2 linked regions of the Macaca fascicularis genome follow. The main gene of each other region encodes a partner of the protein of the gene in region 2 in a complex. Links are inferred from orthologs where the notes say so. Each region holds a gene or a part of one and is shown on either strand. Other genes may lie near its edges.

Evidence for each region.
Region 1: CINP (region 2) and AFG2B share a complex: the UniProt entries of both Homo sapiens proteins name them as parts of the 55LCC heterohexameric ATPase complex. The link is inferred for Macaca fascicularis from reciprocal best matches to the Homo sapiens genes CINP and AFG2B.

The regions. Positions count from the first base shown.
Region 1 is NC_088381.1:21,930,022-21,933,521, reverse strand, and holds part of AFG2B (ATPase family gene 2 protein homolog B), read right to left. Parts: coding exon 3,449-3,500; exon of another isoform or gene 3,420-3,448; intron 1,955-3,419; coding exon 1,824-1,954; intron 669-1,823; coding exon 543-668; intron 1-542. UniProt on the Homo sapiens protein: ATP-dependent chaperone part of the 55LCC heterohexameric ATPase complex which is chromatin-associated and promotes replisome proteostasis to maintain replication fork progression and genome stability.
Region 2 is NC_088381.1:170,470,776-170,474,275, forward strand, and holds part of CINP (cyclin-dependent kinase 2-interacting protein), read right to left. Parts: intron 3,214-3,500; exon of another isoform or gene 3,212-3,213; coding exon 3,043-3,211; intron 2,567-3,042; exon of another isoform or gene 2,463-2,566; intron 1,042-2,462; coding exon of another isoform or gene 920-1,041; intron 1-919. UniProt on the Homo sapiens protein: Component of the DNA replication complex, which interacts with two kinases, CDK2 and CDC7, thereby providing a functional and physical link between CDK2 and CDC7 during firing of the origins of replication.

The DNA.
Region 1 (3,500 bases), about 150 Mb from region 2:
CAGGCAGAAGTACAGTGACATAATCATGGCTCACTACAGCCTTGACCTCCAGGCTCAAGTGATCCTCCCACCTCAGCTTCCTGAGTAGCCGGGACAATTAAAAAAAAATTTTTATAGAGACAGGGGCTCCCCATGTTGCCCAGGCTGGTCTCAACTCCTGGGCTCAGATGATCCTCCTGCCTTGGCCCCAACAAAGTGCTGGGATTACAGGCATGAGTCACTAAGCCCAGCCAATAGTTCTCTTTCAGAAGAAGGTAGGTGACAGAGGTTGGGAAAGGACCCAAAGGAAGATTCTGGGGTGTTGATAATGTTCTATTCCCTGACATAAGTAGTGATTATAAAAATGTGATCATTTAATTCAATGAACTGTACCCTTATGATCTGTGCATTTTTCTGAATGTTATATTTAGTAAAAGTTTACGAAAAACTTTTTTTCGTAAGCCTGTACCACAAAGGCTTTTAGTAAATACTGCTGAGTGAATGAAGATTTGAAAAGATGAAGAAATGTTTTGAACCACAAATTTCTTCACTAATTAACTTACTTCTGTGCAGAGGTTTCTAAGATCAGCTCCAGAAAAAAAACAGGTTTCTGCTGCTAGGTTTTCTAAGGAGACATCAGGACCTATTGGCATGTTTTTTGTACAGACTTCTAAAATAGAAAGCCTGCCCTGGAACAAAATAAAAAACAGTATTTTAAATCTTATAACATTTATGTTTGACACAATGATTTATTAAAATATTTTTAGCTTGAGTTTTCTTTCACATTACCGAGAAAGTATATACAGAGGTTAGAAGGACTAAGTCATCAATGGCCCATATGACAATGGTAAAAATCATGACATCATAAAAAACTTATGAATCTCTCTCTTTTTTTTGAGATGGAGTCTTGCTCTGTCGCCCAGGCTGGAGTGCAGTGGCACGATCTTGGCTCACTACAACCTCTGCCTCCCGGGTTCAAGTGATTCTCCTGCCTTGGCCTCCCGAGTAGCTGCGATTACAGGAGCCTGCCACCACACCCAGCTAATTTTTGTATTTTTAGTAGAGACGGGGTTTCACCATGTTGGCCAAGCTAGTCTCGAACTCCTGATCTCAGGTGATCTGCCCATCTTGGCCTCCCAAAGTGTGGGATTATAGATGTGAGCCACCACGCCCAGCTGAATCTCTCTTTTGGGTACAAATAATACTATTAGACATGGCTTAAGAAGCAAATACATGAATTATCAGATATAACTTAAAGGTATAACAGATAATAAATTTTATTTTTCTATCCCTTCAAAACTTGATAAAAGCTCAAGGAACAAAAAAATTCACTCTGTGCCTTTCACCTTGCCTGTCAGTGGCTCTGGATGTTAACGACAAAAAATGTACTGGTTGACCATGATACACTGCATAATCTCTGATATCTCAGGTTTCTGCACTGTACTTTAAGGACAACAAATTTACTGGTTGACCACGATACACATCATAATCTCTGTGATTTCCGACTTCTGCACTGTACTATAAGGATGCTGACTCAATCTTCAAAGCTCTTTTAACACTTTACGATTCCTCTACTCTAGCTGCAAAATAATGCTGAGTTGACTCCGTATTTAGAGTCTGCCACAACACATACAATAACCACCTTATATTTAGGCTTATGTTTCTCTGTGAACAGGATCAGAGTATCCAACAAAGGCAGATCAAAATTATAATGCAATGAAAGGAAGGAAGGAAGGCAAGGAAGAAGGTGGAACCCAGAGTGAGTAGAACACCATGGACACCTATATCCAGACTGGAATTCCATTCTGCTGAGCTCACACACAGTAAATGTTTACAATGATTACCTTGTGATCTGGAGGTGGGATATAGATGATCTTATCTAATCTTCCAGGTCGTAACAAAGCAGTATCTAACACATCAGGTCTATTTGTTGCTGCAACAATCATGACACTTCGGTTAAAAACTTCCTGAAACTCTGAGGGCAAACACAACAAAAAGTAATTTCAATCAGTTGTTAGTAAGTTTTTAAAAAATTATAAATCAGAAGGTCTATTTAAATTGAAATAGGGATATCCTTTTCTTGGGACCAGAATGCTTATATCCCCTTTCCAGACCAGCTTCTTGATATCAAGATATCCCAGAAACGAATAATTAATCGAAGAAGTACTTTGTGTGCATGGCTAAGGGAGTACCTAAGAGAGATTCTCCGTATGAAAACTTATGAAAAGCCTTATCCCAAAGAGGAGAACACTCATCTGGTGACTTGAGTGCACCTGAGCCTCCAATGAAGGCTTACACCTTAAACGGGCTATTTGAAAAGACAGATATGTATGACCAACAGGTGGAGATATATGGTTACAGAAAAGTCTTGACTCTCATATCCCTAAAGAGTCGAAGATTTACTGGACTTTTTATTTGTCTGCGAAATGACAATCTAAGTTGCAGGTATGCAAATCCTGGATAAAGAAATGTCTAAAAGCAGACAGAGAAAGGCTTTACATATACTAAGCATTCAAAATCATTTGTTGAATAATCAGGCAACTCTCCAGTGACGTAATCCCTCAAAGTACTAAGTTCCCTATGTTTGCAAGTATTTTAGCAGATGATGGGTGAATACCTGTCAGATGTTACAGAAGGAATTCCTGTATTATGGAATGATTTGATTAGATAACCTCGTGGGTACCTCCTAATTCTAGTATGACATGTTCCTAAGGAGTATATGCAACAATCCCATGCAACAATTTTAAAAATAGGAAATGAGTGACAACAAGAGAGGAAGAAAAGAAAAGTATCAGGGATAATTTAAGGATACCAAACTCTGGAGAAGAGACTCAGAAAGAGAGGGAGGGGACTTCCAAAGGCCATTTTAATTCATTAAAACCAAAGAAACCCATTTCTCAAGAAAACTGGAAATTTTCCATACTAAGACTATTGGAAATATTATCCTTTGTCATTCATTCATTCATTCATTCATTCATTCATTCATTCATAGATGGGGCCTTGCAATGTTGGCCAGGCTAGTCTCAAACTCCTGGCCTCAAGCAATCCTTCTGTCTTGGCCTTCCAAAGTGCTGGGATAACAGAGGTGTGCCACTGTGCCCAGCCTACATAAACATTTTTAGAAATAAATGAATACTGGTTTCTTAGGACACGGAAACAAGAATAAACTGCCTTCTCTATTAGCAATAAGAAAATTGTATTTCTCATTCTTAGGAAAAATAAAATTTACATTCTTATATTTAAGATAACTTATTATAAGATGTACCTCACCTTTTATAGCCAAATCACAATTTTTATTAGCTCTAAAAGCCCTAACAAAGTCAAACTGAAATTATAATAAATCCTTCTACGATATGAATTCAGCGTAAGTAAAGCTATAGCATATATGCATTCTATTTAATGTTGGCCTGGATTTTAGGTGCATTCTGGCTAATAAATACCTCTTCATTTTTCAGCTCCTTGTATTTACCCTGTTGACTTGATTTACTTCCTCTTCTCTCTATTGTCTTAAGTCCAACACC
Region 2 (3,500 bases):
ATCAACCAGCGCCATTTTTCCCAATAGTATGTGCTTACTTCATGTCTCTGTATCATATTTTGGTAATTCTTACAATACTTCAAACTTTTTCTTTTTTTTTTTTTTTTTGAGACGGAGTCTCACGCTGTTGCCCAGGCTGCAGTGCAGTGGCGCAATCTCGGCTCACTGCAAGCTCCGCCTCCCGGGTTCCCGCCATTCTCCTGCCTCAGCCTCCTGAGTAGCTGGGACTACAGGCGCCCGCCACCGCGCCCGGCTAATTTTTTGTATTTTTAGTAGAGACGGGGTTTCACTGTGGTCTCGATCTCCTGACCTTGTGATCCGCCCGCCTCGGCCTCCCAAAGTGCTGGGATTACAGGCTTGAGCCACCGCGCCCGGCCAACTTTTTCATTATTATATCTACGATCTTTGATTGATAATCTTTGATATTACTAGTTTAATTGTTTTGAGGTGCCATGAACCATGTTCACATGTAACAGCGAGCTTAATGAATGAATGTTGTGTGTTCTGACTGCTCCACTGACTGGCTGCTCCCATTTCTCCCCATCTCCTTGGGCCTCCCTATTTCCTGAAATAGGAGGATATTGAAATCAAGCCAATTAATAGCCCTACATTGGCCACTAAATGTACAAGTGAAAGGAAGAGTTGCATATCTCTCATTTTAAATCAAAAGCTATACTTTGGCCAATTTAAGAAACAAAAAAATTAAAAGCTGGAAATGATCAAGCTTAGTGAGGAAGGCATGTCAAAAGCTGAGATAAGGAGCCAGGTGCGGGGGCTCACGCCTGTAATCCTAGCACTTTGGGAGGCCGAGGCGGGTGGATTGCCTGAGCTCAGGATTTCAAGACCAGCCTGGGCCACATGGTGAAACCCCATTTCTACTAAAATACAAAAGAAATTAGCCGGGCGTGGCAGCATGCACCTGTAGTCCCAGCTACTCGAGAGGCAGAGGCAGGAGAATTGCTTGAACCCAGGAGGCGGAGGTTGCAGTGAGCCAAGATTGCACCATTGCACTCCAGCCTGAGCGACAGAGCGAGACTCCATCTGTACAAAAAAAAAAAAAAAAAGGCTAAGATAAGCCAAAAGCTAGGCCTCTTGTGTCAAACAGTTGGCCAAGTTGTGAAGGCAAAAGAGAAGTTATTGAAGAAAATTAAAGGTGCTACTCCAGTGAACATGTGAATGATGAGTGAAACAGCCTTAGCGTGGATATGGAGAAAGTTTGAGGGGTCTGCACAGAAGAGCAAAACAGACACAGCATTCCCTTAAGTCAAAGCCTAATCCGGAGCAGGACCCTCACTCTCTTCAATTCTGTGAAGGCTGAGAGACATGAGGAAGTTACAGAAGAAAAATTTGAGACTAACAGGATTTGGTTCATGAGGTTTAAGGACAAAAGCCATCTCTATAACATAAAAGTGCAAGGTGAAGCTGCAAGCACTAATGTAGAAGCTGGAGCAAGTTATCCAGAGGATCTACTTAAGATCAATGATGAAGGTAGCTACACGATATGACAGATTGTCAATGTAGATGAAACAGCCTTCTATTAGAAGAACATGTCATCCAAGACATTCACAACTACAGAGAAGTCAATGACAGGCTTCAAAGCTTCAAGAGACAGGTTGACCCTCTCGTTAGGGGATATTGCAGTTAGTGACTTTAAGTTGAATCCAGTGCTCATCTACCATTCTCAAACTCCTAGGGCCCTTAAGAATGATGTTAAATCTACTCTGCCAGTGGAAAAAGCAAGAGAAGCAGAACTAGAAGTGGGGTCTGAAGATGGGACTGAATTGCTGCAATCTCATGAGAAAACTTGAACAGACGAGGAGTTGTTTCTTATGGATGAGCAAAGAAGGTGGTTTCTTGAGATGGAACCTATTCCTGGGAAAGATGCTGTGCACATTGCTGAAATGACAACAAAAGATTGAGAACATTACATAACTTAGTTGATAAACCAGTGGCAGAGTTTGAGAGGTCTAATGTGGGTAAACACTATTAAACAGCAATGAGAAAGAACAGAACCAGAATAGTGGCTCTACATTACATGGATGGCTTCCATGTTGAAAGACAGTGAGACATGGCTGGGTGCAGTGGCTTACACCTATAATCCCAGCACTTAGGGAGGCTGAGGTGGGCGGATCACCTGAGGTCAAGAGCTCGAGACCAACCTGGCCAACATGGTGAAACTCGGTCTCTACAAAAAATACAAAAATTAGCTGAGCTTGGTGGCAGGCACCTGTAATTCCAGCTACTCAGGAGGCTGATGCAGCAGAATTGCTTGAACCTGGGAGGCAGAGGTTGCAGTGAGCTGAGATCGTACCATTGCACTCCAGCCTGGGGGATAGAGTGAGACTCATCTCCAAAAATAAAAATAGAAAAAGAAAGCGAGACATAAAGGAAACACTAACATATGTTTTTTGTTTATGTAAAATCAAAAAATGGACAAAAAGAATCCATGGTAGTTTTTTCCATATCAGCTACATACTGTGTCAACATCATAGCAAAGTTTGAGGAAGGCACAGGTCATACATGAGCATGAAAACCCAATCATCACGCCTATGAACTACAAAAGAATCAAAGAATCTATGGTTTTAAAAATCAGAATAGCCAGGCGTGGTGGCTCACACTTGTAATTCCAGCACTTTGGGAGGCTGAGGAAGGTGGATCATGTGAGGTCAGGAGTTCGAGACCATCCTGACTAACATGGTGAAACCCCGACTCTACTAAAAATACAGTAATTAGCCGGGTGTGGTGACAGGCGCCTGTAATCCCAGCTAGTCCAGAGGCTGAGGCAGGAGAATCACTTGAACCCAGGTGGTGGAGGTTGCAGTTAGCCAAGATTGCGCCATCGCACTCCAGCCTGGGCAACAGAGTGAGACTTCATCTCAAAAAAAAAAAAAAAAAAAAAAAAGGAATATAATTTTGTCTCATGTGTCATCTTACCACTTGCTTTTTTTGCTTAATATTTTATTTTCAAATTTATTCATGTTGATATTTCCCCAGTTATTAAGGGTGAAAAACTTAGAGCATGAAAAACCAATATGTACTTACAATAAACTGATTTTCAAGTTGGCAATATTATTTGCAGCGGTAAAACCTGCATCACTGAGGGTTTCCCACTTCAGGATTAAATTATGCCAATCAGCCGCATTGTCCTTAATTTTTCTTGCACTGACAGATAAGACAGGTTTTCTGGGCGTTACAATTCCAACAGTCTTTGCTGATAGGGTATAAAAGAAACAAAATTATTATCATGGAATATACAATCATAGTTGGAGGGCAAATGTCCTCATAATTTTCAACAGTAAAACTATCTCAAATGCTGTATCAACTGGACAAATAAATGTGGAAACTACAAAGTCTGAATGAATGTGAAGGTTCCTGGAAGAAGACAACATAGAATATTTTTTTTTTTTTTTTTTTTTTTTGAGACGGAGTCTTGCTCTGTCACCCAGGCTGGAGTGCAGTGGCCGGATCTCAGCTCACTGCAAGCTCCGCCTCCCGAGTTT